Linked DNA regions of Canis lupus familiaris. The protein of the gene in region 1 interacts with the protein of each later gene in a biochemical or structural test. Links are inferred from orthologs where the notes say so. Each region holds a gene or a part of one and is shown in the gene's direction. Other genes may lie near its edges. The genes, in order: NUP214, DDX19B and NXF1.

Region 1 (10,048 bases):
TTTATAAATGAAGAAACAGGCCCAAAGAATTTAAACGTTCAAGAACCCAACACTATTAAGCAGAGCCAAGATTTTAATCTAGTATTTGCTCTTTACCTATTATTTTGCATTTGTGTATTCCCTTGCTGAGAGTCCCTCAGTGTGCTAGAATAATTGACTGCTGTTTTCCAAAGTTGTGTTGAAATTGTCTGTAACAAATATACTGTTGTGTAAAGCTCTTTTTTTTTTTTTTTTTTTGGTCATGGCCATGGAGAAAAGTGAAGTAATTTAAGAATACATATTCAATAATTTTCTTTGACTGTTAAATGTCTATGTATTTATTAATTTATCAATTTATTTTTGCTTCTGGGCATTTGTTTTAAAAGGCTAAACAGCAAAAACGCCCATTTGCCTATCATAAGCTTTTGAAAGATGCAGGAGGCATGGTGATCGATATGAAGTGGAACCCCACTGTTCCCTCCATGATGGCAGTTTGTCTGGCCGATGGCAGCATTGCTGTCCTACAAATCACAGAAACAGTGAAAGTGTGTGCGACTCTCCCTTCCACAGTGGCAGTAACATCTGGTGGGTAATAAAGGCTTTCACTCTGTAACATACAGTGATGGTAATCTCCTTAAAAATTAATTTCCTGAAATAAATGCAAATGGGGTTTTTTGTTGTATCTGTTGTTGTTTGGTAGAAGCAGAAAGTGTTCTTTATTTCCATAATGTTTGATACCAAACAGCAGAGTTGATTTAACTTGAATGTGCTTAGGGTTTTTGGAGAAAGAAATATTTTGGTACAGATGGTTTAGAAATGTGTTTTTGAGAATGACTGTTTCTGGACCCAAAGGGGTGGTGTGGATGGTACACTGGAAGTCATTTTTACCTCTGCGGGAAGAGCATTATAAATCTTGGATAGGAGTAAGAGAATGATTTCTTGATACTTGAAAACCTCTATTCTCCTTACCTAAAGATAACAGAGTTTTTGTATTTTCCAGCTTTCTGGACAACACTCTATTGAAAACAGATTTTTTTTTTTTAATATTTTATTTATTTATTTAGGATAGTCACAGAGAGAGAGAGAGAGAGAGAGAGGCAGAGACACAGGCAGAGGGAGAAGCAGGCTCCATGCACTGGGAGCCTGACGTGGGATTCGATCCCGGGTCTCCAGGATCGCGCCCTGGGCCAAAGGCAGGCGCCAAACCGCTGCGCCACCCAGGGATCCCGAAAACAGATTTTTAGCAGTTGATTTAATGGTCCAGTGATAAGTCGTAATTGGTTTGTATCAACAAAAGGAATTTTTTTGGACTTTTGCCAAATAAGGATGATCCTCCTGTCTCCCATGGACTGACAGAGGAACAGGAAGTGGTGGTTATATGGCTGTTTCAGTACAGACCTCTATGGTTTGCTCCATTCTCTTCAGTTCTTAATTGGCAGCATTTTCTTCTTTGCTCAGTGTGCTGGAGCCCCAAAGGAAAGCAGCTGGCAGTGGGGAAGCAGAATGGAACTGTGGTCCAGTATCTTCCTGTAAGTGTTGCCTTGGACTTCAGCACTTTTCTTAAGTTATGTACTGTTTTTGGGATGGTTTGGGAGCTCATTAGGGTTTTTTCTGTTAAAATGTAATTCATGCTCACTGCAACAAATTCATCAGTAAACTAGTGAATGCAGGAAAGGGTGGAACTCTTCCCTTTCTATCCCATAGTCCTTCTAGAGGCTCTCTCTGTGTTTTATTTAGTGGCAGCCTCTAGACATTTCTGGATGCTTATACAAATAGTGTATAGATGCATTACATGTCTACCATACACGCTGGTCATATTCTACGCAGTGTTATCTAAACATTCCATCAAAACAGTTAAGGCATAGCATTATTTGGTAGCCGAGTCCATCTGAAAGATTCAGTTTCTTCAACTCTAGGCACCCGAGACAATGGATGCCCCTGTCACTCTGTCATCCTCTCCCTGGGGTCTTCCTGATATCATCACAGGTATTATTCAATATAAATTGACATAGAATCCATATATGTTACATCAGGCATGGATGGGAAGGAGGGTTCCACAGGCAGTTCTGAGGCCTGTGTTGCTGTCCATTCTTCCTTGAGAGACTGTTCTTGGGTGTAAAGCAGAGAATGTAGTTTATGGGTTTGAGGTGAAGCTTTTATTTCTTGTTATTACAGAAAGTTGTTATATGAGATTTGGTACATACTCTTAGGGCGGTAGCCTCTAAAAAGATAACTGGCTTAATTTTATTGGTTTGCTCTTTGCCTTTTTTGTCTTAAACATAATACTTTATCAAGGTCCTTTTCCCCAACATATTATATATGGAGCCATTCTTTTGAATGACTGCGTAGTAGTCCATGGTGTGGATGTACCATGATTTACTTCTCTATTCCGTTATTGGTGGTTGTCTGTGTCAGTGTGTGTGGCTTTGCTAGTATAAATGGTATAAGCTTGAGCATCTCCTTTCTACGCCCGAACATATTTGTGGGAGATTTCAGTAGGATGGGGTCCTGGATGGAGTCATTCACTATTCCCTGTGTTCATTTCTTTCCTGGCTGGGAAGATGAAGCACAGTGGTTTCTGGGGGGAACATACTGGATTTGACAGAGTTTCATTGGTTTAAGTTTGTTTCATTTGACCATTTGATACTCCCCCCCCCCCCCCCCCGCCCGCCCCATCTCTTTCAGACTCTGCAGGAAAAAAAAGTCATTCCTTGCCCACCATTTTATGAGTCAGATCATCCTGTCAGAGGTAACCCATTTGCTTTTCTTATGCTAGGTCCACCTCTAATGAGGTGACACAGTATTTGCAGAAATTTCACATCATGTGATGCAGCTGCACACTCAGGGAAGTGTTAATGCCTCCTGCATGAACACTCTCATTATTATAGTTGGCTAATTAAGTCAGCATAACAATAATCCTCTGGTAGACACCTGTGTCTCATGGTAAATAATAGTAAATGGGTCCTGATATTTTATTAGAATCCTTTCAAAATTTGCCATCCTTTTATTCTGCCAGGAAAAAAAAAATGCCACTTTGGGATGATTTGGGGCTTCTTGAATTCTTTGTATTTGTGAATTATATTCAGTCAGTGAAATCTGGACCTTTTAGAACTATAGCACTCGGTCTCTTTTATCCATGGGCTGATAATTTTTTGAACATATGGGGGCTATTCCAAACATAAGATGCTTTATTAAAGTGTGTGTATTTCAGTTCTGGATGTGCTGTGGATCGGTACTTATGTCTTCACAATTGTGTATGCTGCTGCGGATGGGACCTTGGAAACTTCTCCAGATGTGGTGATGGCTCTCCTCCCGGTATGTGTGTGAAAGGGACATCTTTGGCAGCCCCGTGTGGCTCAGTGGTTTAGCGCCGCCTTCAGCCCAGGGTGTGATCCTGGAGGCCCAGGATCGAGTCCCACGTCAGGCTCCCTGCATGGAACCTGGCTTTTGCCTCTGCCTGTGTCTCTGCCTCTCTCTCTCTCTCTCTCTCTCTCTGTCATAAATAAATAAAATCTTTAAAAAAAAAAAAGAAAGAAAGAAAAGGACATCTTTATCCTTTGGGAATCATAGAGGTCTTCTAATAAAGTTCTAGGGTTAGGCTTTAGTTTCCTTTTTTTGCTGGCAGGGATGGTACAACTTCAAGCGTAAAACTTGAATGCTGTCCCGTTGCCTGAGGGCCAAAATTACAGTGTTCCTGACAAAGTTGAATTTTAAAAATATGTTTTTGAGGTCCTTATTTTAAGAACTTAAGATTTTCTATTCCCAGAGATCAGATTAGCTTTGGCATTTATTGACTCCTTCTTAGGTTCCATGTTCTGGGCTAAACTCTTCATATGTATCATTTTGTTCCACGCTTAAGACAGAGTGTGGAGTAAGTTCATCAGGCCCACCACAGACCCTAGAAAAATTATCAGAGAAGTGAGCAGTCCATCCATGCCTGTTCCATGGCCAGAAAGTGAAAAAACAGTTTGAATCCAGTTCAGTTAGTGGCCACGGCTCATATTCCTTGTATTACTCAACTCTGTCTTTATAGGATGTCTATATATTTGGACAGAGTTTTTTTTTTTTTTTTTTTTTTTTTTTTTTAATATTCATGAGAAAGAGAGAGGCAGAGACATAGACAGAGGGAGAAGCAGGCTCCTTGCAAGGAGCTCGATGCGGGACTCGATCCTGGACCTCAGGATCATGCCCTGAGCCGAAGGCAGATGCTAAACTGATGAGCCACCCAGGTGTCCCTGGACAGGGATTTTTGAGTGAATTTTCTCATAAAGTGTAAATGGTTTTAGTTTTTGAGATTCTTTAACTGTGTAGAATTAAAGAAAAATTGCATGTGGGATTTTTTTTCTCCTTTTGTTTATTGTAGAAAAAAGAAGAAAAACACCCAGAGATATTTGTGAACTTTATGGAGCCCTGCTATGGCAGCTGCACGGAGAGGCAGCACCATTACTACCTCAGTTACATTGAAGAATGGTGAGCTGAGAACCCAGAATGGATTCCTTCTCTCTCTGTCGGGTCCTACCTGCATTGCTTTGTTCCCACTTTGAGATTCTTTTCTGTAGGGAAGGAGAATAGAGAATTTATGCCCTTGAACATATTTTCCTCTGAGGCTGGATAATGCCTCTGACTACTTCTGTTTCCCCAATCTTAAATTATCTGGATTGAATACTTACTAATCTTAAAAACCCCATTTTCTCAATAACCCCAGTGATGACTTATGACAATATGATATTTAAGGAATGTATTAAATGTGTCCCTTTGAGAGCAAAAACTTCCCCTTGAAAGATAGATAGCTTGAAGCAAAGCTTCTGTCCACGATTTCACCAGATCTTTCTGTTTACAGGGCAGTAGACTTAATGGAAATTCTGACTGGATTTTGTCATGTCTCTGACCTTTGTCAGAAATACATAAGGAGTTGGCTGAGTCTCCAGGGCTTTATCCTAATGAACTAAGAAGTTAAACTTTACATCTAAAATCTTCTCACCTTTCTTCAGCCATGTAGAAGACCTCACCTTCCTCCTTGACATCACACGGAAGTCCTCATGGACGCCACCGCAGGCTCAAGTTGGGTTAGAATTGTTGCTACGTTTGAATTTAACAGTCTCCTGCTTTTGTTCTTTCAAGGGATTTAGTGCTGGCAGCATCTGCAGCTTCAACAGAAGTCAGTATCCTTGCTCGACAGACAGATCAGGTAAATTTCACTCTTCGGTCACTTTTATGTGACACTTTTCTGAGAAAGATTCTTGGAGGAGTTAACTATGTGGTGAAAGTTTAGATGAAGCCACATCCTTTTGAATGAGTTTCTGGATGAGAGCAAAGCTGACACTTGGCTGATGTGACGGAGTGCCTTGGGCCATGTGGCTTGGATTTTGCATGGGACAGATGTGGGTTTCAAACTCAGCAGCTCCCCCACTGTCTTAAAAAGCTCTTCTGTCCTTTCAGGATCCACTCACGATCTGTGGAAGCATAGATATAATCAGCTTCCCACAGGAGCACACCTGGGTGTGTAGGAGGATTTTCTGCCTTGTTCTGTTTCACCACCTTTATTTACTTCCTGTTGCTTGAACCTGCCCCTTCCGTTCAGTTACCTCTAACCCATCCTTGACTAATGGAGAGAAACATGCAGACCATATCAAATTGCGACTCACCAGCAATACTTTCTATTTCACTTTGAAAAACCACCCAAGAGCTAAAAGCACTCATGTGTGTAAGCACCCACCTCCCTTCTTGCGCTCTGTCCTTGCAGACAAGAATTGGGCTGAGGTGATTGTGGTAACCCATCCTCAACCAAGGTAGGTTATGTACAGTGACCACAGAAGGACGTGATAAAAGGGAAACTTTTTTTTTTTTTTTTTTTTTTTTAAGATTTATTAGAGCAAGAAAGAGTGTGCACAGAGGGAGAGAAAAACTCAGGCAGACTGGGCTGAGCACAGAGCCTGACACAGGGCTCTATCCCACAATCCCAAGATCACAACCTGAGCTGAAACTGAGAGGCAGTTTTAACTCTTACCACCCAGGTGCCCCAGGAAACTTTTCTGCTTAAAACTCTGCCTTGAGTTTAAAAATGTTGTATGCGCCCCACACACAGAGACTTAGACCTCTCCAATCATTCAGTATTTATCCCTCATTCTCTGGGTGGCAGGGTGGTCCACTATAAGTACATGGCTCTCATAGTATCTAGGATGAGCGCTTTGGGGTCACAGGCCAGAGTTAGTCTGATGTGAAGCCTTAGATTGTCTTTAAGAGCAATTTCCTATGAGCACAGCTATCTTATGTACTGACACGTTTAAAATGTACTTGTATTTTTGTTTTTTATCAGGATAATTTATGTACATGACTAAAAAATGACGTAGTGGAAAGGATTTATAAAAGAAAAAAAAAAGATTACCCCTGCCTACTCCATCCTTATCCAGCCCTGGTTAGAGGGGAACTTTTTTAACTTGTAAATTTTTGCTTTTAAAGATTACCTCCTTATCCCTAAATAATCTTAAGGGCACCTGGGTGGCTCAGTTGGGTAAACGTCTGACTGAATTTTGGCTCACATTGTGATCTCAGGGTTGGAGATCGAGTCCTGTGTCAGGCTCTGCACTGGGCATGGAGTCTGCTTAAGATTCTCTCTCACTTTGCCCCTCCCGACCTCTAAAAACAAATAATAATCTGCTTCATCACTAGTTAACGATTATTTGTTTTAGACCTTAGGTGTTGTGGTAGATAACAATATAGCTTACATATGGCCCTCAAATCCTCCTTTCCCTTCAACGGGGTTACAGCACTGTTGTAGTTTCTTCTGCTGGTTACCTTTGTAACTGTAAGTAATACTTTTAATCTTCCATTTCTTAGTTATCACTATACCCAGTATCTCTTGACTCTCTACTTTGTGAGAGGAATACCTTCTCTCCCACTCTCGCCTTTAGCATACCTTCCCCGCTCCCACCTCACTGCTGTTCTCATCTGTAGCTTGTCTTTTGCAGAATCAAAACTGGTACTGTTGTATTCTGTTCTGTAGTAATTATTAAGTTTTCTTTATTTTGTCTATAGATTGTTTTTCTTTTTTTTAATATTTTATTTTATTTACTCATGAGAGATACAGAGCGAGAGAAAGAGAGAGAGGCAGAGAGAGAAGCAGGCTCCATGCAGGGAGCCCGACGTGGGATTCGATCCCGGGTCTCCAGGATCATGCCGTGGGCTGCAGGCGGCGCTAAACCGCTGTGCCAGCAAGGCTGTCCTATAGATTGTTTTTCAAACTTGATATCAACTTTATTTACATTATTATGAATGCAATTATTATTCACACCATAGCTAAGTCATGGAGTATGATTACATTCCCTTTCCTGAAGGGCTTTTTGTTTTCTCTCTGTTATTCATAGAGCATTATTTCCTTTTGAGTTGTGCTGCCCAGTTTTGGTCAACACTGAAAGTTAGACAAATGTGTGGTTTTTAAAAATCAGATCATAGGGATGCCTGGGTGGATCAGCAGTTGAACGTCTGCCTTCGGCTCAGGGCGTGATCCCAGGATCAAGTCCCATATGAGTGCTTCTTGCAAGGATCCTGCTTCTCCCTCTGCCTGTGTCTCTGCACCTCTCTCTGTGTCTCTCAGAGTGAATAAATAAAATCTTTAAAAAAAAATCAAATCATGTATTGGCAGGAATATAGCCCATTCAAGCACAGACATAAGCAGAAGAGTTTATTGGAAAGACTCAGTGGTTTCTCAAGAACCCTGAAGGCAGGAAGGGCCCCATGGGAGGAACAGATGCCAAGATCTGGGAGGATAAGAACTAAGGGTAATTCTGTCCATTAACAAGTGGGCATAGGGCATCTGGCCAGCCCTACAAGCCACATTGCTCAAGACCACAGTAGCAATCAACTGGAGTTCCTTGTGCCAATCCCACATTTCCAGGAGCAGCTAATAACTGTTTGGTGCAGGTATTAGATTTATCCACCACGTTTAGGAATGTACCTAGTTGGGGTAGACAGTACTTGGGAAAGTGTTCACGATAGTGGTTATTCACAAGGCAGGTACTTGGTATACCAGTAACACATGGGTTAATTTGGAAAATTAACCCCTCACTTGCTAGGATGCCCGTTGCTTTTAGACCATCTTTCCAAATTTCAGAGTCTGGTCAACACATAAATCTAAACCAAGTGAATTGTCTTCTCTCCTTTTTGAAATATGGGAGGACCATTGCAAAGCTCTAACCAACATAGCTTTTTCATCTTTACTTCTTTTTTCCAGATTAATTGGGAATCTTGGCTCCTAGAGGATTCCAGTCGAGCTGAACTGCCTGTGACAGACAAGAGTGATGACTCGCTGCCTGTGGGAGTTGCCATAGACTATACTAATCAAGTGGAAATCACCCTCAGTAAGTGTGGCCTGATGTAGCTCAGTGCAAAAGTGGTCGTGGTTGATATTGAAATCCTGTTCTGCGTGTTCATGACAGAATCTACTCTGCGGGGCACTTAACTCCTGGTAGTGCATTGCTACTTGAAGAATGATACAGAGTGCATTGTGACGCCACTAGATTAACTTGATTGACATTCATTGATAAGACAAAAGCCAGACTCTGTGCGTGTGTGTGTGTGCGTGCCTGTGTGTGTGCGCACCCGTGTGTACACTCACGCATGCCTATCTCTGTGTGCTTTCATGTATAGGTGAAATCTAGAACAGAAGGGTCTCATTGCCTTGTTTCTCCAAGCATTCCAGTTTCCCAGCGGCCTCCCACAGAAACAGCACCCTAGTTCAGTACTGCGTAACAGTGCTTGGTTTAAAGACACAGATCAGAGAATGGGGACCTCAAGCACTTGGCTTCCAGGGCAGGCCTGAATTTGTGCTATGAATGGGTCTTCTCTCTTGGAGCGAGATAGGGCTGCAGTCTGTGAGATGCACCAGTATAGTGGAACTCATGCCCTATGCTCTTTGGTACTTCAATTTAGAGAGGTGTCATTGTTGAGCACCACTAAGTTCCTTCCTGTCCTTTCCCTGGTAAGATTATTTGGTCTCCTTAGTTCATTTATTCTGAGTCTCTTCAAGTCCTAATTGACAAAATACATCTTAGGATTGAACTGTGAATGAATATAAAGTAGTTTGACTTACCTTTCTACGTCCTGTGTATTTTCCAAAGTGTGTAGTCTGTCACTTTTCTGCTAGGCCAGCCCCCTCCTAGAGACACCTGTCTTGGGACATCATGAACCCTGAGACACTCGTCAAAGTCTCAGGAGCTCAGGGACAGTCACAGCTGCCATAGGACTACTGGAACTTCCCTGCAGGGTCTGGCATGATGGTAGCCACTGAGAATGGCAGTAGTTCTCTTTCAAGAGCCAGTGCTCTCGAGGCTGTTCAGATATGAATCAGAGCAAACAGTCTTGAGCTACTGTTGGGGCAAGTCTACTATAGCCTTCTTGCTTAGAATAGTCTTTGCCTTCGGGACTTGGTTCATTTTTCACTTGTGCTTATTTTCTTAACAGATGATGAGAAAACTCTTCCTCCTGCTCCAGTTCTTATGTTACTTTCAACAGACGGTGTGCTCTGTCCATTTTATATGATCAATCAAAATCCCGGGGTTAGGTCCCTCATCAAGATGCCAGAGCGGCTCTCGTTAGAAGGAGAGCGACAACCCAAGTCGTCAGGTACGTGCCTCTTTCTGCTCTGTCACAGAGGGAGTGCCATGGGCTCGTTCTGGACCATCCCCAGGGATGAACACTGTGTAGGGACACATAATGATCCTCTTCCTTGAGCCAGTCTGAACGAAGCAGGGACTTTTCCTTGAACACACGCACATTCTTGCATCCTCTCACCCACAAGCTTTATTCTCCAACCTTTACTTTAGAGAAAAGGAAACTCAGCCAAATGAATCCCATCAGGTAATCTACCAACAGTATCCTGTTACAGCACCCTGTATCGTATGGTCTGAATCCTACCAACATGTTTAGTCCCAGAGGATTGGTTACATATGTCTTCGTATGTGCATACCGTGAATGCCACGGAACTTAAAAATGTTGCATTTGTTGACAAAGCTGTAGTCGAATGTATCATGAAAAAGCACTGTATGCTTTATGATTTCTTTCTCATTGAGAA
Region 2 (9,542 bases), on another chromosome or scaffold:
GAAGGCAGCACCAAACCGCTGGGCCACCAGGGCTGCCCTAAGCTCAGGTCTTCATCTCAGGGCCTTGAGTTCAAGCCCTGCATTGGTCGTCTCCACAATGGGCATGGAGCCTACTTAAACAATTTTAAAAATTAATTTTTTTTTTAATTAAAAAAGATACACAGAGAAAGATACACAGATACACAGAGAGAGAAAGAGGCAGAAACACAGGCAGAGGGAGAAGCAGGCCCCATGCAGGGAGCCCGATGTAGGACTCAATCCCAGGACTCCAGGATCAGGCCCTGGACCAAAGGCATCACCAAACTGCTGAGCCACCTGGGCTGCCCCCCGCCCCAAACTTTTTTTAATAAATACTTTAGCATGCATCTTGTAAGGACATCCTTCAACATAACCCACAAAATCCTTATCACAGCCAAGAAAATTAACAGATTCTCTAATAACTAGTATCCATTTTTATTTTTCCCCCATAGTCCCAAAAGTCCCATACTATTTATGGCTGTTTTTGAACCAACAACAAATTGGTGTGTATGCAATGCATTTGGTATTGTCTTTAAATTTAGAATAGTTCCGGGGATCCCTGTGTGGTTCAGCAGTTTAGCGCCTGCCTTCGACCCAGGGTGTAATCCAGGAATCCAGGATCGAGTCCCATGTCAGGCTCCCTGTGTGGAGCCTGCTTCTCCCTCTGCCTGTGTCTCTGCCTCTCTCTCTCTGTTTCTCATGAATAAATAAATAAAATCTTTAAAAAAAAAATTAGAATAGTTCCTTCACCTTCTCTTCTCCCTAGTACATTTGACTTTAATTAAACAGGCCAAATCAGGGCAGCCCGGGTGGCTCAGTGGTTTAGCGCCGCCTTCAGCCCTGGGCGTGATCCTGGAGACCTGGGATCGAGTCCACATTGGGCACGCTGGATGGAGCCTGCTTCTCCCTCTGCCTGTGTCTCTGCCTCTCTGTGTGTGTGTCTCATGAATAAATTAAAAATCTTAAAAAAAAAAAAAGATTTAAACAGGCCAAATCAGTTGCTTATTAAATGCTACACATTCTGAATTTAATTGCCTAATTTCTTTTTAATGTTAATTAGAACAAAAATGTTCTAGAATATTCATGATAATTCTGGCATCTAATTTTTTAAAATTATAATTAACATACAGTGTTTTATTAATGTTAGCTATACAGTGATTCAGCAGTTCTATATTTTTCTCAATTCTCATCAAAATAAGTGTAATAAATGTAAAGAATAATCATCTTTATTTCACCCCACCCAACCTACCTCCCCTCTGGCAGACATGTTTGTTCTCTGTATTTAAGATTTTGCCTAGGGATCCCTGGGTGGTGCAGCGGTTTAGCGCCTGCCTTTGGCCCAGGGCGCGATCCTGGAGACCCGGGATCGAATCCCACGTCGGCCTCCCGGTGCATGGAGCCTGCTTCTCCCTCTGCCTATGTCTCTGCCTCTCTCTCTCTCTCTGTGTGACTATCATAAATAAATAAAAATTAAAAAAAAAGATTTTGCCTGTTTTTTTTTTGAAGCTTATTTGTATTATTCTTTTCTCTTTATTCACCTTTCCTACTTCTGTTTTGCAACAAATTAACAATATTTAAAAAGTGTTGTTGAGAGTTTGGCTATGAATGTTTTAACACAAACCTGTAACTATGACTCTCAGAAATCCACTCAGCATATAATGTCCTAATACCAACTTGAAGTTGCTTCTAAAAAGTAAGATTATAAAACTTAGTGGAAGATGATCATAAGACATTTAAAATTTTGCAGTTTCGGTTGAAGTTAGAATGCAACTTTTGTGGAAGGCAGTAATTGGATTAACAGAAGCAGCAGCATTTATTGGCTTTGAACTGACTCAACATTTATATTTGGGCAAACTTTTGGCAGTGATTACAGGGAGCTTGTATATGTCAGGTCAAGGTTGTAATGAAAGGACTTAAATTCAATGTATAAGTGCCATGTAATTAAAAATGAAAAGCCAAATCTCAGCTTCAGACTGTACATGGTCAAGAATGTGCCATAGCTTGCCAGGCCTTGTCTAGGGAAGCACTTCATCTAGGAGAGGTAGTAGGTGTTTCTTGGAGAAAGCAAAGCCATTCATGATGAATCCTATTTTCTGACCTGGGCAGGGAGTACATAAAGGCAACCGACTAGTTTGATGTAGATACTAAGGTAGCTGAGGGGCAGAGTGCACTGGAAAGAGCAGTGGAAGTCTGTTTGTGAGGAAGTGCAATCCTGGGCTGGGGGAATGCTGTTGCCAGAGAAGAAATAAAGGTAACGACAGATCTGAATGAAGGAGAACTGGAGGACTACAGAGAATGGACAAGAACGCTACTGAAGAGACTTTCATCTTGTCACTGTTTTTATCCTTATTTTGTCTTTACAGCATTATTAAATACTATAGTGATATAACCTTTCCTTAAGATATTAATGCAAACATCAAACAATTGCATTAAAATACATCATGCCTTTAGGTTTTCTCAGAGAGGAAAGCTGAACTTACCATGGAAATACCCACAGAAAACGTCTTGTCTCCACAGTGGAAAGAGGTCAGAAGATCAGTGAGCACATTGTCATTGGCACCCCTGGGACTGTTCTGGACTGGTGCTCCAAGCTCAAGTTCATTGACCCCAAGAAGATCAAGGTGTTTGTTCTGGATGAGGCTGACGTGATGATAGCTACTCAGGGCCACCAAGATCAGAGCATCCGCATCCAGAGGTAGGAACTCTTGAGCCAAGAGGAACTTCTCAGCTTCCTGATCTGCAGCATCTTCTCCTTTTACTTCAAACACTCTTCTTGCTCCTGTTAGCTTCTTTACTTTTGTACTTCCAGAAGCGTTTGTTTGATGGGCCATATCCTCGTCAGCATTGACCACGGGTTGAGGAAGGAGATTTAGGGAATCTTAACACCAGCCCTGTCCCTGCCCCATGGCTGCTCTCGCCTCCTCCCTGCTGTTCTCCTCCCCCTTCTGCCACTCTCCTGGGCATGTGGATCACCCAAGCCCGGGGCAGCTGTCTTCTGTTCCTTCCAGGGAAAGACTCGGGATCATGCCACATACCTGGGTCTTCCCTTGCAGGATGCTGCCCAAGGACTGCCAGATGCTGCTTTTCTCTGCCACCTTCGAAGACTCTGTATGGAAATTTGCCCAGAAAGTGGTCCCAGATCCAAACATTATCAAACTCAAGCGTGAGGAGGAGACACTGGACACCATCAAGCAGTATTACGTCCTGTGCAATAACAGAGATGAGAAGTTCCAGGCCCTGTGTAACCTCTACGGGGCCATCACCATTGCTCAGGCCATGATCTTCTGCCATGTGAGTAGCAGTGGCAGCAGCAGGCCTGGTGGGGGAGGAGCTGCCCTGGAGGAGGTGCCTGCCCCTCCTCACAGCCAGCTCCAACTAGGTGCTGAGGGAGGACCAGGGGCTCGGTGTGGCCTGGTGTGGCCGGAAAGGAAATGAATCACCTCCACCTGCCCCAGGGAATATTCTCCTCAGACTGTAATAAGTTAGGGAAAGATTGTGAAGAACTATACTTTCTTTGGTTGGTCCCACTTCTTAGAGATTACTTGGGAAAAACTCTAAATAACATCCAATGAAATAATTATAAAACATTAAGAATATAGACTATTTGGGAATGAAGATCTTTGGATCACACCACTCTTCCTTGCTGAATGCTAAGATGATTTAAGTAATTCATCCAAAAAAAATTTTCACTTGGCTAAAATTATTTGTGAAATTGGTAAGCCTATCCTGTTGACTGAACTCAGCAGGTCTTCATGTATTTTAATGGCAACAAGCCACTTTTTTGCAGGTACCTTTTTTTTTTTTTTTAACAGGTATCTTCATTTAAAACCATTCTGTTCACTCCAGACCCGCAAAACAGCTAGCTGGCTGGCAGCAGAGCTCTCAAAAGAAGGCCACCAGGTGGCCCTGCTGAGTGGCGAAATGATGGTGGAGCAGAGGGCTGCGGTGATTGAGCGCTTCCGAGAGGGCAAGGAGAAGGTGCTGGTGACCACCAACGTGTGTGCCCGCGGTGAGCAGAGAATCTGTCCGCCAGGCCCTGGGTAGCAAGGGAAGTCCTCCTGTATGGGGCGCTCTGCTGGTTCGGGGCGAGTCCACATGGGCTTGGTGCTGGCATTCTTTCCTGGGAGAGACTGGATTCCCCCAGCAGATGAGAATTGTCACAGAAGCCAGGGGCCCTGATGTGGTGGAAGGACAGGGACAGGCACCTCACTGGTCCAGAATGGCACCTTCTCTTTGGGGCCCCCAGTGAGGTTCTGGCTGCATTACTGATGTCCTAATTCTGTTGGCACCCTGCCAAAGTTGTCTTTCCCTCTGGATTCTGCTAGGTGCCCCTTGGCCCCAAATCCCAGAGCCAACCTGCCCCAGACTCTTCTTCCACATGAAGCTGGTGTATGTTGGCCTTGCTTGGCTGGTGGTGATTTTGTCTCCCTTCCTGACCTCTCCACCTCTTTCATGCAGGTATTGATGTCGAGCAGGTTTCTGTCGTCATCAACTTTGACCTTCCCGTGGACAAGGACGGGAACCCGGACAACGAGACCTACCTGCACAGGATCGGGCGCACAGGCCGCTTTGGCAAGAGGGGCCTGGCAGTGAACATGGTTGACAGCAAGCACAGCATGAACATCCTCAACAGAATCCAGGAGCATTTTAGTGAGTGCCTGGGAGTGTCTCTGCTGGTGCCCTCTCCTTACAGGGGCGAGTCCAAGGGAGGGGGTGAAGGGTAGATTCTCCTGTGGCCCCAAGAAAGGCCTTTGTCCCCAACACAGTCCCCTCCTTCCCTACAATAGGGAAGTCCTCCAAGAGCACACCTGGTGAGTTTTCAGGGTCAGGGATGCAAATGACAGTTCCCCCTTGGCCAGCCTCAGGGGCCTGGGGCTCTGTCCCTTGCTCGGGCACTGGGAGTCTTTGGGCTTAAGTGAAAGGTCGCTGTGGCCAGAGGCATGGCCCATCCCTAGGCAGGGCAGAACCCTGTTTCCTCTCCCTGTGCCATGCTGTCCCTTCCCTAGGGGTGGGTCTCTGTGGTAGCCCCATGTTGATTTCTCTTTGAATTCTCATCTTCCTCCCCAGATAAGAAAATAGAAAGATTGGACACAGATGATTTGGACGAGATTGAGAAGATAGCCAACTGAGAAGCTCCACCAGTCACCAGTGCCCACGCCTGGCACTCACTCCACCTGCACGGAAGACTAGTGCTTTCACGGCACAGGCCTCGACAGTTACCACAAAGAGGAGGCAGAGGAGAGAGAAACTACCTACCTCATTTTAAATTACGTTTGGACTAGACAAAAATTGTGCAAATGATGGGGGGAGGTAGAAAAAAATTGTTTATACAACTTTTGAAGATTAGGCGTGAATACACAGAAATTTACCTTTTGGAAATTCCATCTTCTTTTTGGCCATTTCCCCCACCTTTAAGCTGTAGCTAATTAATCACTTGCTCAAGATGCTTGTGGCAGCCCTTGCCACCGCCCAGCCAGAGGGCCACAAGTGTTCAGAATAGCCTCTAGACAGAAGAGAGGTGAAGACAGACAGAAGCCCTAACTGGGATAGGTGTGTAAGCCAGCCATCACGTTTGGAGTATGGGATGAGGCCTGTGAGCTGGTGTTTTGGATTTAGGGTGGGGCAGCGCATCTGAGTGTTGTCAGCTCCACAGTAGAAGGGATTTGCTAACCATGAGCCAAATTGCCACCCTGGGACTTTTGGTGCTTGCAGGTTTGTGTTGCAGGACCATGACCTGGTTTTCATCAGCAGGGCAATGTATGTATAGTGCACATCTGATTATCAGTGGATCCCTTGCCTGTGCTTAAAGCCTGTGGAGAAGTCTTCATGGAGAGTTAAGTGGTGGCCCTCACTTACCATACAACCTGGGCTCACAGGCACTTGCAGCATCTTCTTTATAATCCCTAATGTCACCCTTGCCCCTTAGCCTCAATCAAATAAAAGGTGATCTAAGGTTTGGATCCTCAGTGAAAACTGTGGCTTCAAGTCATTCACAGACAGCCTGAAGGCAACTCCAGAAGTGAATCAGCAGTAGTCACAAATACTTGCTTTGTCTCCAGATCCCAGAAGGCAACATTTGTCAGAGCTGGGGTATCATTTCAGGTATTTGATGTCTTGGTTGTAAAGTGATTTTGAATATGTGTTCACATTTCTTGGAATACACATAGCGCAATAAGGAACTAAGACTATGGCCATTCACCTGCACAAAGCGGGAGTCAATGCCAAGGACTTGGCTCCCTCCTTACTGGGCATCTTTGTGCAGAATAGTCAGAACAAATGTTAGTAATGAACGCTTCCTCTTACCTGGCTAAGGCTGATGGTATCCACAGAGTTACAGAGCAAAGATGAGATGAAACCCCAGCAACATGAAGTCTTCTCTATCTCTTTGACCTTGATACAGAACGGGTACTTTGTCTAGGCCCAGGCCTGGAAGAGGGATTTTATGTCATTCTAATCCCAGACTATCCTTATAAGCATTTCCATGTTTTAGGGCCAGACTGGTTTCCTAGGCAGGGAAGGGATCCATGCCAGCCTCCAAGTGGTTTCCTTAATCTGACATTAAATACAGAGAGACCAAAAACTGCCACTCCTGCCACATTTCCCCAGTGGCCATTCATAGTCTTTTCTGATTCTGGCCAACTCTGACCCACCTTGGGAGTCTTATAAAAAGAGAAGAAATTCTGTCTCCCACCCCCTGCTGGGCTGTGGACCAACCCTGAAATAACTAAAACAAAGGCAGGAATTAAAGGAGTATAGACTCCTTACAGGCTACAGGCTGACTACATTCCCTTCTTCCTGACAACTGCATAGCCTTAAATCTAAGCAGCTAGGGGATGGGGCGGGGATGATGGAAGTACCAGTACATATTTTGTGAATCTTTACAACTATACTGTTCTATCTTTACCCATGTTTCCACCATCCTTGGAATTCTCCTAATAGGAGAAAAGCCAAGTACCCTTAGGTAGCTTATCCCTGAGAACACACGACCATATGCTTAGATTTGAAAGACCATGAGTCAGCCCTGGTCAGGTGTCCTAGGAGGGTTGTCCTCTGGTCTGTGTTCCTCAGACACCAAAGCTTCTAATTTGCACAAGAAATGTCCTGATAAACCAATGCCAATTGAGTACAAGTTTAACAACAGAATAGGTCCCAGTGTTTTGGCACTGCTTTAATTTCTAAAACAAATAAGGTTATGCTAGAGGGACAAATAATGTTCTATTCATCTGATTTCATACTTAATGCACATGGAGGGGACAACTTCAGAAACAGCTGCAGTACCTTGAGCCTCATAGTTCATTAGTCCTATCCTAACCCACAGCATGGAGCCCAATGTAGGGCTTGAACTAACAACCCTGAGATCAAAATCTGACACCAAAAGTCAGACACTTAACTAAACTAAGCCATGCAGGTGCCCCTCATTATTCTTTTCTGGTTAACTCTTCCACTCTGACCAGTGACCATTTTAAGACTTTCACTCACCTCAAACTTCCAACCCCATTATCTCCATACTTGGAGTCAACAATCAACACAAGGACACTCCCCCAAGCACACCTACCCTTCCTTTGCCCTCCTGTTACAACAGGAGAAGTCCCTACTATCTAAATTTCTCTATAAATGCACCCTCTCCTGTGGCTGTTTAAGGACTTGCTCCATCTACTCCATCTCATATTTTCAACCTCTCCCACCCCACTAGCGGGTTCCCCATCAATTTTCCCTCGTATGTGTGTAGCAGTATAATACACATAACGAAAAATAAAATACAACAAGTTTACCATCTTAACCATTTTTAGGTGTACAGTATATTAAATACATTCATAATGTACAACCACCACCCACCACTATCCATCTCTTGGATCTTGCAAAACTGAAATATACCCAAGGAGAGGGGTAAGGATGGGGTGGTGGAGAGGTGGACTCCCCACTTGGCTTAGAGCCCAACGTAGGGCTTGATCTCATGACCTGAGCCGAAACCAAGAGTCAGATGCTCAATCAACTGCACCACTCAGGGGCCCCAAAAAAACACATTATATTTGACCCCTCAACAGCATTTAACAATATAAACAGTCCCTTCCTCTAACCATTCTTCTGATAACTGAAGTGACACACCACACTCATTGGTCTTCCTTTACTCTGGCCATTGTGAGTGTTCCTCATAGCTCTGTTTTGGGTCATTTCTTCTTCTTTCTCTACTGTGGGGAATCTTGTTCATTCCTCTGGCTTTCTTTCTGCTGACAATTCCAAAATCTATACCAAGACCCAGTTTTTGAGCTCCAGGGTTGTAGAAACAACTGCCCACATGGCACTTGCACTTGGGATGTCTTCAAGGAACCATGTACTCAATATATCCAAAATTGAACCTATCATCTTGTACTACCACCAAACATCACCACTCCAAAAAACTCATGTTCTGCTCTTGGCTTTTCCTTTATCTCATGAAATGGCATTATAATTGTCTGGCCTGAGGCAGAAATCTGGATTCATCAGGAACTTCCTGCTCCCCAACCAATAATCACCAAGTCCTTTTGTATCATCCAATGCTATGTAACACATCACCCCAAAACAATAGGTCAAAACAACTTAGTCTGGTGGCTCTCCTGGTCTCTCCTAGGCTCACTTCCGCAGCTGTATTCCCCTGGCTGTTGTCTGGGCTCAGCTGAAACAGCTGGGTTCCTCCACATGGTCTTCCATCTTCATAATATGGTAGATGGTCTCTGGGTTCTAAAAAAGGAAAGCAGAAGTTCTAAGTTCTCTTGAAGCCTTGGCTTAGAACTCCCCAGTGCACTTCTGTCACATTCTTTTAGTCAAAGCAAATCACTAGGCCAGCGCAGAGATAGTGGGGAAATAAATAGCTTCTGATGGGAGTCGCTTGAAATATCTGTGGCACCACCTTCTATCAGGTTGAACCAAATGAAATGGGACTGTTGGACAGCTGTTGACCTATAAAAGTGGCACTTTCAGGATGTGTTTTACAGAGAAATTTGCTAATGTGTTAACGAATGAAAACATGGAATATGTTTTACACATATTATCCCCAATCACTTTTTCATACAATTTTTTTGTACTCATTATAAACTACTCTTTAGACCTTTGTGGGCCAAATACAAACTTAGTCTGGCTCCTGCCATTATTCTTATTTTCTGAATCCTTACACCATCCCTCTTCCCATTCCCCTCCCGTTGCTTCCTGCACATAGAGGCAACATGAAGGAAAAGGAGTTCCTACAGCAGAGCCACCATCCTATCAGGCCTACTCCTACCACTGGCACAAGCAGTATAAATCCCTGTACCCATTCACCAGAAGAAATGACGCCAAGAGACAGGTGTGTCCGTGAGAGATGGTCAATTTGTTGATCACTAGTTCATTCATTGATTTCATTCACTAGCTAATTCAACAACTGTTTAAGGTGTCCCTGCTCTGGGTGAGATGCTGGGGAACCAAATGTGAACAGAACAGGTAGGATCCCCACAGGATTCGCCGTTGAATGATGAAGCTGAAATAATCATGTGATCAGGTAATTCCATGGA
Region 3 (10,048 bases), on another chromosome or scaffold:
TCCCGTGTTCCTCCCGGAGTCCCGGGCTGCGGCAGCCTGCTCTCGGCTCCGGCGCTCGCCCCGGAGGTGCTGGCGGAGCGACGGAACGGAGGGGGCAGGCGGCGGGGCGGGCCGACGCGGGGCGGGCTGGACGAGCGCGGGTCTCGGCAGGCCCGGGAGAGGCCGAGCCCCGCCCCCGGCGCGGCTGTGGCCCGGTGCGCACGCGCAGCGGCCGCGCTCCCCGGCGGCTCCGCCCACCACCGCGGACGTCGGCGGCGCGCGACGTAGTTCGCAGCATAAATGCGGCGGCGCCGGCGGTAGGAGCGCTTCGGCCCGGGCGCCCGGGTGTTCGCGCGTTCGGCGGAGTTCGGCCCGCGCCTGAGCCGGCCTCGCTTCTCGCTGCGCCATGGCGGACGAGGGGAAGGCCTACAACGGTCAGTGCTGGTCGTCAGGCGGGGGCGAGGCGATCGGGGGCCCGGTGGGCGGCGCCGGTGTAGGCCGCAGCCCCGCGGCGGGAGGGGCGGGAGGCGCGGGAGGCGCGGGAGGCGCGGGAGGGGCGGCGGCGCGGGAGGGGCGGGGGCGAGGCCGAGGCCGCCTGCGGGTCGGGCCGCACTCGAGCGGGGCGCCGGCCGTGTTGACGCGGGAATCGTGGCGTTGCGCGGAGCTTCGGCCCGGGGCTGCGGCCTGGCCGGGGGGGGGCGATTCCTTTGAACTTTGTGGGTGGTGATGCCTGTCAGTTGGATTTGGCGCCCGGACTCTGCCTTTAATAGGAGTCCGTGCCCGGCTCATCGGCTCCCTGTGTCGTTTCCCACCGCGTCCGGTCTCTTGTCCCGCGTCCCCTGCGGCCTTGGCTTTGGCTTTAGTATTCTAGACTTCCACACCGGTTCGCTGTGCTCGCCCGAACACTACGCACGGTTTTAGTCCGGAGGAGTGGTGAGGAGGAGCACATGACAGCCGGGTTGAGTCCTGAGTCGTCTTCCCCGAGCTTGAGGGAATTCCACTCCCAGGCCTCATTTTCTATCTCCGTAGGAGGTGGTGACCGTACTTACTTCCTGGGTTTGCCCTCCTGTTCAACGAGATCATTCGTATCAAGTGCCCGGGGCATAGTGCCTGGCACTGAAGAAAGTTCTCAGTGAATGTTTGCTGCGCCTTATATTCAGTTGTGGTGTTTTGTTTTGTTTTTTGCCCTCCCCCCCGCCCCCCGTCATTTCTTAAGGTTCATTGTTTGCAGAACACTAGGCATGAGGCGTTTGGGGAGTCAGGGACCTTTTTGTAAGATGCTATTCTTACACCCCAGGATTCAGAGGGTCATGTTCCAGGGGAGCAGTCCAGGACCCTTGGCTAAGCTCCCTAGTTGCCACTAGAACCTGAATCTTAGGAGTTGTCTCCTAAGTTAAAAAAGCATTTTTTGCCAAGGAAATAAACAGCTCATTCCCAAAAGTTCAGAGTGGCAGTTTGAGAACAAGAATTTTAAAGAAGCCCTTAATTTTATTTGTAACTGACGCTTGTACTCTGCGCAAGGGAAGCTTTGTTTACTGAGAGCTGATGTGATCGTCGTGATTGGTTGATTTAGGAGATGTTGAGCGAGGTCACCATCCAAGTTTTGAGAAGGCTTAAATAGATTTGGGAAACTAAGAGCAAGCAGATTTCAGGTGACTTTTCAGGGGTCTAGTTCCACACTGGGTCCATATTCTACTCACACTTCCACATTGTGCCTTTCCCGGTCTGTAAGTTCCAGTTCCTGAGTCCTTTTTCTAAAGCCCTGCCCTGTCTTCCAGTGATGTTTCGCTCCTGCTGCCATGCCACAGAGAGGGTTCTCCTCTCAACAGACAGAAGTTTGCATGGAGGTGGGCTCTGTAGTTGGTGTGTATCTCATTTGATAGCACAGGCTGCTTGCTACTGTGATTCCCACAGCAGGGTAGCTGGGCTGACAGCATGTTTCTAATGGATGTCCTTTTTAACCCCAGAGCATGATGACCGTGTTAGTTTCCCTCAAAGAAGAAAGAAAGGCCGGGGTCCTTTCCGGTGGAAGTATGGCGAGGGGAACCGGAGGTCTGGAAGAGGAGGTTCTGGCATTCGGTCTTCCCGCCTGGAGGAAGATGACAGAGATGTGGCAATGAGTGATGCCCAGGATGTTCCCCGAATACGACAGTAAGCGACCAATTGATCTGGTTTGAGAGCTCAAACCAGATTTATTTATATAGCTTTCTGCTGCCCACACCATTTCCCTTCTCACCTGGAAAAGTGAGGGATGTCAGGGCCAGTTTAATGGTTAAATAGTTTTAGCTATAATCCTGACAACAGTGTGGGAAGCCTTTGAGAAGACATTCCTAGTGTTTGCGGACATTTTATTCTCTGCTTCCCCACAGCAACCCCTATCCTCCCCGACCCAACCGTCGAGGTGACAGTTGGCATGATCGAGATCGCATTCATGTTACTGTGCGGAGAGACAGAATTCTTCCAGAGAGAGGAGGGGCTGGCACCAGCCAGGATGGGACCTCGAAGAACTGGTTTAAGATTACAGTGAGTGTCTGGGGTGCCTGGGTGGCTCAGTCAGTTTAGTGTCTGTCCTACACTTGATTTCATCTCAGGTCATGATCTCAAGGTCATGAGATCAAGCCCCACGTCACCTCTGTGCTGGGCATGGAGCCAGCTTGAGATTCCTATTCTTTCTCTTCCTCCCTCCTCCTCTCCCATTCCCTCTCCCCTCCCCCCTCCCCCTAAAAAGAGATTACACTGAGTGTCTGGGGAAGTAGATGGTGCAAGGGAGATAGGGGGCTGGGCTCAGCGTGTAGGTCTTTACTTTTCACACAACAAAATCAATCTTCACTGTTTTCTCCACAGTCGGGTGTCCAGCCTTTCTCCTAGAACACCTAAGAGCAGGTTCAGAAAAGGAGTTAGAGGGGGGATAAGCAGGATGAGGGGGATGGGGACACCATCTAAAGGGAAATGTGGGGGGCAGCCTGGGTGGCCCAGCGGTTTAGCGCCGCCTTCAGCCCAGGGTGTGATCCTGGAGACCCGGGATCGAGTCCCACGTCGGCTTCCCTGCATGGAGCCTGCTTCTCCCTCTGCCTGTGTCTCTAATAAATAAGTAAAATATTATAAATAAGTAAATAAATAAATAAGTAAATAAATAAATGGAAATGTGCTAACTGGTTGGGAGGTGGAGTAACCCATCCAAATGTCTCTATCTGGCTCAAGCCCAGTATGGGGCTTGGGGTCCCTTAAGTTCTCTGAGGGGTGGGCCAGGTCTAAATCATATCTAAGAACTTTTAGAACCAAATAGTTTGGGGAACCTGGGTGGCTCAGTCGGTTAAGCATCTGCCTTCATCTCAGGTCATGATCCAAGGGTCTTCGGATCAAACCCCAGCAGGGAGCCTGCTTCTCCCTCTCACTCTGCCTGCCCCTCCCCCTGATTGAGCGCGCGCGCTCTCTCTCTCTCTCTCTCTCTCTCTCTGTGTTAAATAAATAAATAAATGAAATCTTAAATTTAAAAAAGGAACCACATAGTTCTATTTTCTTGAAAAATACTAAGTTTAAATGGGCAGAAAGGAAGGTAAGGAATCTGTGTCTGACTTGAGTAAAAAAAAAAAAAACTTTTAACTGGCCCTTCCTTTAGGAAATGTCATAGAAGTTGGCAGAAGGTGTGAAAGGAGCACTAGGTTGAGTCTGTTGGTCAGCCTTTATTACATGATATTCCTTCTCTCTCATCTAGATTCCCTATGGGAGAAAATATGACAAGTCATGGCTCCTGAGTGTGATTCAGAGCAAGTGCAGTGTCCCTTTCACCCCCATTGAGGTGAGATAAGGCCCAGGTGGCTGACTGGGCACCAAGGAAGGTGAGGGGCCAGCTGGACCAGGGGCCCCAGGCTCCCAGTCTCATGCTCTTGTTTCTTCCTCTTTGTGCAGTTTCACTATGAAAACACACGGGCCCAGTTTTTTGTGGAGGATGCCAGTACCGCCTCTGCATTGAAAGCTGTCAACTATAAGATTTTGGATCAGGAAAACCGAAGGGTGTGTGTAAAGGGCCTGGCTTGGCTGGAGTTGGGTCGTGGTCCTGTGGCTTAGGCTTTCCCAGAATTCACCTTGCTCTCTGTGTCTTCCCTGCAGATATCTATCATCATCAACTCCTCTGTCCCACCCCATTCTGTACAGAACGAACTGAAGCCAGAACAAGTAGAGCAACTAAAGGTGAGGCAGGCTCACGTCATGTGTCTCCTCTCTAGTTCCACCAGTTCTCACATCCACAACCCCTCTGCACAACCCGAGTGACCGCTGACCCCTTTTCCTTCTCCTGTAGCTGATCATGAGCAAACGATACGATGGTTCCCAACAAGCACTTGACCTCAAGGGTCTCCGTTCAGACCCAGGTATGACTAGCAGCGGTCATTCTCAGAGAGGTGGAGGCAGAGGGGGGTCTGTCGGGCGGGGAAAGTTTGAGAATAGTTTGGTATGAACTCTGACGTGGGAAAGTCCTCTCAGACTTCCTCTCTTTCCTTTATGCTGCCTGAAGACTTGGTGGCCCAGAACATCGATGTTGTCCTGAATCGCAGGAGCTGTATGGCGGCTACGCTGCGAATCATTGAGGAGAATATCCCTGAGGTGAGGCTTTTGTCCTGCTTAGAGATGGGAGGAGGCAGAGTGGGACAGGTAGAATGGGGCTAGGAGGCAGATGTGTCTCCGAATCCTTTGTTGGCAGTGCTTCCTCTAATCCTTTCTCTGCCTGTAGCTCTTGTCCTTGAACTTGAGCAACAATAGGCTCTACAGGCTGGATGACATGTCCAGCCTTGTGCAGAAAGCACCCAACCTGAAGATCCTCAACCTCTCCGGAAATGAGGTGAGACCTGAGGGTCTGGTTATGTTGTGTGGGGCGGTGAGTAGAGGGTGCAGAGGGCTCGCCTGCTGACAGCAGAAGGCACGGTGTGGGGATCTCACTGGCTCGGCTCCCTCATTGGGGTCTCCTGCCCACTCTCTCTGCCCTCCTCTCCGCAGTTGAAATCTGAGAGGGAACTGGACAAGGTAAAAGGGCTGAAGCTGGAAGAGCTGTGGCTTGACGGAAACCCGCTGTGCGACACCTTCCGAGATCAGTCCACCTACATCAGGTCAGTTGTAGCCTCTGTCTCCCCTCCTGGGGACCTTCACCCCCTGGGAGGCTGAGCTAATGTACCCTGACCAGTGCCCGTCTGCAGGAGATGTGCAGCCCTGAGCTGGAACCACCTGTCCTTTGGGAGGATCACATGCTCCTCCCTTCGTCTGTCTGTGTGTCCCAGTTTGGCCCCGAGGTCTCCTTACCTTCCTTCTCACCTGACTACCTGTTTGCTGTTCTGTGGTCTTTCCTCTTCCCAAACACAGCCTTTTCTAGAGTCTCCCTACTCTCCTGTTCCAGGAAGGGCATCTCCTGCTTTGTGGCATGACCATGGGGTATCTGTCATCTGCCCCATACATGGAGCTGCCTTATGCAAGAGCCTGCTGTCCCAGGGCTGAGAAAGCCTTTCTGCCCTGGGACTTCCTGTTGATGGGCCTTTCCTTCTTTGTTCTGCGCTAGCCCCTCTTGCCGTTTGGCCAAGAGGGACTCTCTTCTCACGGTCCACGTGCCCAAGGCCACCGTTGCCTGGGCTTTCTCCCTCATGCTGAGGTTGAGGCCTCCTCGGAGCTGGTGCCATGCATTCTGTCTCTCTTGCCTGGAGCTGTGTGAGCTGGGCCCTCCCTGGAGAAGAAACCTGGGTTCCCCAAGCTGTGTGAGCAGAGCTGGGGCCCCGCCGGCAGGCGAGGGAAGCCCAAGGCAGGTGCTGGGCGTGGAGGCCACGGGGGCATAGACTGCGGAGGAGACAGAGCACTGACCCTCTTGGGGGCGCTGCCCCGCCCTCACTCGCACACCTCACGTCACCCTGCTTGGCCCCGGAGGATGGCTGGTTAGCCAGAGACGGGTAAGATTCCTCAGGGAAGGAACAACCTAAGACAGGCACAGTCGCAGAGGGGCCATCAGGAGAGAACTTGGGGGCCAACAGAGGTGGGGCACAGACCCTCACCCCCCCAACTCTGCAGGGGCCTGAACCCTCACCCCTCCTGAGGGAGGTCTCCTGCCCCCATGGCTGCTTCACATCCCACGCCCAGCTCAGATTGGGACCCAGGTAGCAGACAGAGACCTGGCCAACAGCAACTGCCCTCCGGCCGCAGCGAGAATTTGTTTCCCGTCTGTACCTTGGACCAGGGAAAGAAGGGGCAGCTGAAGGAAAAGGCTGTGTCGGGTGTCCTCTTCCCTTTTTTCTTCCTTGTTTTTCCTAAGGCCTCCTTTGGCCTTTGCTTTCTTTCTTTTTACTCTCTCCCCTCCTCTGTGTCCCCATCTCTCCCTGGCCTTGGCCCCATCCTCCCTTCTCTCTTTCTCTTCTTCTCCTTCTCCATCTTCTTCCTTCACCTCTTCCTGACCCCCTACCTTGCTCATTTCCCTGCCCCAACATCCTGTGCCATCCCTGTGGTGTGTTCTGGTCTTGGCTATGGCCAGGCTGGGCAGAACTGATGGATACCTGTTGAGGCAGCGGAGCCCCTGGGCTCCCACCCCATTCCCTCCTCCCGGGGCTGCACAGGTGAGTAGGTGGAAGGTAAGGGGGGCAGGGAGGGGAAGGAGGTCCTGGCTTAAAGCCTGGGCTGGGAGTGCTGCTCTTGTGGCGCTCGGGTCAGGCAGCAAGAAGAGCGTCTGCCTTCAAGGCGGTTGTTTCTGGGTGCCCCGGGTGAAGTGGGGAGTGGGGCCTCTTTCCCCAGAGCTCAGAGGCTGGGGAGGAGTGAGAGGACAAGCAGGACGGGGTGGCTAATCCCTTGGGTGTTGGAGTATTTGCTCCTAGAGCAGCTCAGGAGGCACGGTGGCTCTGAAGCATCACTCACTTCTGTCCCGTTTTTGACAGCGCCATTCGAGAACGATTTCCCAAATTATTACGCCTGGTAAGTCCATAACTTTTTCAGTTCTTTTTAATGACCATAGGCTCTCCCTCCCAAAAGGTCTTTGCTCACGTGGGTTTGTAGGACCGTTAACTTGGAGACCTGGAGCCCTTTGAGAATCTGGCAAAAGCTATAATCCTTAGAAAAAGACCAGTAGACAAGAGTCACATCTCTTAGGGTCCCTGAGCCTTTTCCACGTCTCCTAGACACTTTGATCTCTGACTCCTCATTCCTGGTTCGCCCGTCTCATTACTTCTCAAGCCTTTTCTCTCTGGTTATGCTGTCGATTTCCACTTTCCCCAGGATGGCCATGAGTTACCCCCGCCAATTGCCTTTGATGTCGAAGCCCCCACGATGTTACCGCCCTGCAAGGTAAGAAGGGGGGATAGAGTTTGAACTTGTGTTGTGTCAGGTAAATAAGAGTGACGTGGTCCTGATAACCTGTGTGATTCCAGGGAAGCTATTTTGGGACAGAGACCCTGAAGAACCTGGTCCTGCACTTCCTGCAGCAGTGAGTATTGCAGGGCCCCTGAGGCTGGGAGAGGAGGGCTAGCTAGCCCCAGCACAGCTGACCCTCGGGAGCAGTCAGGTTCCCCTCCACACCACGGGGCTCAGGCTTTCCCTTTTGTTTTCTCCACAGGTACTATGCAGTTTACGACTCTGGAGACCGGCAGCGGCTACTAGATGCCTACCACGATGGGGCCTGCTGCTCCCTCAGCATTCCCTTCACCCCCCAGAACCCTGCCCGGTGAGTATCCCTGCCCAGAGCCTGCCCAGGACCAGCATCTCTCAGCAGCTGCAGGCAAGCGCCCGCCAGCACTCCTACTGCTCTGAGCCCTGCCTTTCTCCGCTTATTCCTCTAGAAGCAATCTGGCCGAGTACTTCAAGGATAGCAGGAATGTGAAGAAGCTCAAAGACCCGAGTAAGTGTGTGATGTGAAGGGGGCAGGGCAGCATGGGAAGGGGGGCAGATGGGACTTGGTCACAGGGTCCAGGAGACTGTGGTAGCTGCTAATCTTGAATTCTCCTCTCGCACAGCCCTGCGGTTCCGGCTGCTGAAGCACACACGTCTCAACGTGGTGGCCTTCCTCAATGAGTTGCCCAAAACTCAGCATGACGTCAATTCCTTCGTGGTAGACATAAGCGCCCAGACCGTAAGCACCTGTTTCTGCTGCTACAGAAGCCTGAACTGGGTGAAGGGGCAGGTACAAGGCATGGGGACCTCAGGCTCGGGCTGGAGCCTGTGTGCTGACCAGCGCCTCTTCTCTTTCAGAGTACGTTGCTGTGTTTTTCTGTCAACGGGGTCTTCAAAGAAGGTGAGAATCTTTGGAGTTTGGGGTGTGCAGAGTGGGCCCTCCCGCAGCTAGTTTTGTTCTCAGCACTCTCCATTCCCTTCCTTCTCCTTCCTGAGCTCCTCCTGTTCTGCCCAGGCCATCTCCATGAGGCCTACCATCTCCACCTGTCTTTTCTGTCTGGGAAATGGGACAAGTCTGAGGATGAGGACACAGACTTTGGGGTCAGGCAGTAGTGAGTTTCTATTCCAGCCTTGGTCCCATGTGGGCAACTTATGTTATCTCTGAGTCTCAAATTCTTGATTTGTAAAAGGGGGTTAGTGATAGCCATGTCATAGGGTGCTGTGGGGAGCCAGTGAAGTGCCTGACACAGGAGCTGGCTCACTAATACTCCTGGCGGGCTAACTGTGGTGGTGGTTGTCCTCCCTGGCCTCTGACACTCCTCTTCCCCTCTGCTCCCCTGGATGCTCATAATCATCAGTCTAGTCTACTTCAGTTTAGTTGTATCAAGTAAGACCATGATTGGAGAAGCTTTTTGTAAACATGGCGTAGCTGATTCTAAGGGGTCTTTGCCGTTGTTGACATTGCAGTGGATGGAAAGTCTCGGGATTCTTTACGAGCCTTCACCCGGACATTTGTCGCTGTTCCTGCCAGCAATTCAGGGTAAGTGTTTGGCTTTCCACATGGGTTCCCAGTCCCAATCCATGGCCAGCAAATGGGAGTTGGTGGGGGAGGCGTAGGGGAGCCAGTCCTCAGGATGTTTTCAGAATTTCAGAAAGCTGAGGGGGAATCAAGAGGAGGCTGTCACAGTGGTGGTGAGCTTAGCTCTGGAGCCAGATTGTCTGGATTTTTCATCCTGGCAAGTTTCCTCATCTAGAAACTAGTATAAGCTACCTACTAACTACTTCCTTGGTCTGTTGTGAAGATAAATGGGGAGAAGAACTGTCCTGAATTGGAGGAAATGTGTAATTCTAATGTTTGGCAGCTAACCCTATACTCAGGTTCTGTGGGAAGGGGCATAAATGATAAAAGGCAATGACCAAGAATGGGCAGGAGGACTTTGGGGATATTGAAAAAAATCTGTCAAGTGTGAGAACAGGAGTAATTTTGGGAAGATGAGGTTGGCTGGCTGTCCAGCTGTTTAAAGTGCTTTTTGTCCCAAAGACTGTGCATCGTAAATGACGAGCTATTTGTGCGGAATGCCAGCGCTGATGAGATCCAGAGAGCCTTCGCCATGCCTGCACCTACACCTTCCTCCAGTCCAGTGCCCACCCTGTCCCCAGAGCAGCAGGAAATGCTGCAGGCATTCTCTACCCAGTCTGGCATGAATCTTGAATGGTCCCAGAAGTAAGTGCTGGGCATGTGTAAGAATAGGGGTAAATGGAGGTAGGGGTGGGAATGAGTAAGGAGTGCTCCTTGGGGGATCCCTGGGTGGCTCAGTGGTGATCCTGGAGTCCCGGGATAGAGTCCGTCCCGCATTGGGCTCCCTGCATGGAGCCTGCTACTACTCCCTCTGCCTGTGTCTCTGCCTCTCTCTCTTTCTCTGTGTGTGTGTTTTTCATGATTAAATAAATCAAATCCTAAAAAAAAAAAAAAAAAACCTAAAAAAAAAAAAAAAAGTGCTGCTTAAATTTTAAAAGCCAAAATTTATAAATATGGCCCATAAAAAATTTTGGCCTATGCCTACATCAGCATAACAAACTTTTTGTATTTTTTTTTTTTTTAAGATTTTTATTCATAAGAGACACAGAGAGAGAGGCAGGAGGGAGAAGCAGGCTCCATGCAGGGAGCTAGATGTAGGGGACTCGATCCCAGGTCTCCAGGATCACACCCTGGGCTGAAGGT

The links.
Region 2: the proteins of NUP214 (region 1) and DDX19B are reported together in a solved structure, tested with the Homo sapiens proteins (2 studies listed by IntAct, with this or other methods). The link is inferred for Canis lupus familiaris from reciprocal best matches to the Homo sapiens genes NUP214 and DDX19B.
Region 3: the proteins of NUP214 (region 1) and NXF1 form a complex in vitro, tested with the Homo sapiens proteins (4 studies listed by BioGRID and IntAct). The link is inferred for Canis lupus familiaris from reciprocal best matches to the Homo sapiens genes NUP214 and NXF1.

What each region holds. Positions count from the first base shown.
Region 1 is NC_049230.1:53,021,630-53,031,677, reverse strand, and holds part of NUP214 (nuclear pore complex protein Nup214), read left to right. Parts: intron 1-365; coding exon 366-564; intron 565-1,437; coding exon 1,438-1,508; intron 1,509-1,895; coding exon of another isoform or gene 1,896-1,965; intron 1,966-2,664; coding exon 2,665-2,728; intron 2,729-3,190; coding exon 3,191-3,294; intron 3,295-4,342; coding exon 4,343-4,449; intron 4,450-5,100; coding exon 5,101-5,167; intron 5,168-8,209; coding exon 8,210-8,336; intron 8,337-9,438; coding exon 9,439-9,600; intron 9,601-10,048. UniProt on the Homo sapiens protein: Part of the nuclear pore complex. Has a critical role in nucleocytoplasmic transport.
Region 2 is NC_049226.1:76,904,075-76,913,616, forward strand, and holds the end of DDX19B (ATP-dependent RNA helicase DDX19B), read left to right. Parts: intron 1-2,535; coding exon 2,536-2,713; intron 2,714-3,071; coding exon 3,072-3,309; intron 3,310-3,864; coding exon 3,865-4,027; intron 4,028-4,476; coding exon 4,477-4,668; intron 4,669-5,085; coding exon 5,086-5,147; 3' UTR 5,148-5,991; downstream 5,992-9,542. UniProt on the Homo sapiens protein: ATP-dependent RNA helicase involved in mRNA export from the nucleus.
Region 3 is NC_049239.1:54,404,059-54,414,106, forward strand, and holds the start of NXF1 (nuclear RNA export factor 1), read left to right. Parts: upstream 1-252; 5' UTR 253-385; coding exon 386-413; intron 414-1,946; coding exon 1,947-2,130; intron 2,131-2,348; coding exon 2,349-2,502; intron 2,503-3,694; coding exon 3,695-3,778; intron 3,779-3,888; coding exon 3,889-3,993; intron 3,994-4,089; coding exon 4,090-4,170; intron 4,171-4,279; coding exon 4,280-4,349; intron 4,350-4,492; coding exon 4,493-4,581; intron 4,582-4,708; coding exon 4,709-4,816; intron 4,817-4,971; coding exon 4,972-5,081; intron 5,082-6,878; coding exon 6,879-6,915; intron 6,916-7,215; coding exon 7,216-7,284; intron 7,285-7,367; coding exon 7,368-7,423; intron 7,424-7,552; coding exon 7,553-7,660; intron 7,661-7,775; coding exon 7,776-7,834; intron 7,835-7,949; coding exon 7,950-8,065; intron 8,066-8,184; coding exon 8,185-8,227; intron 8,228-8,793; coding exon 8,794-8,866; intron 8,867-9,367; coding exon 9,368-9,550; intron 9,551-10,048.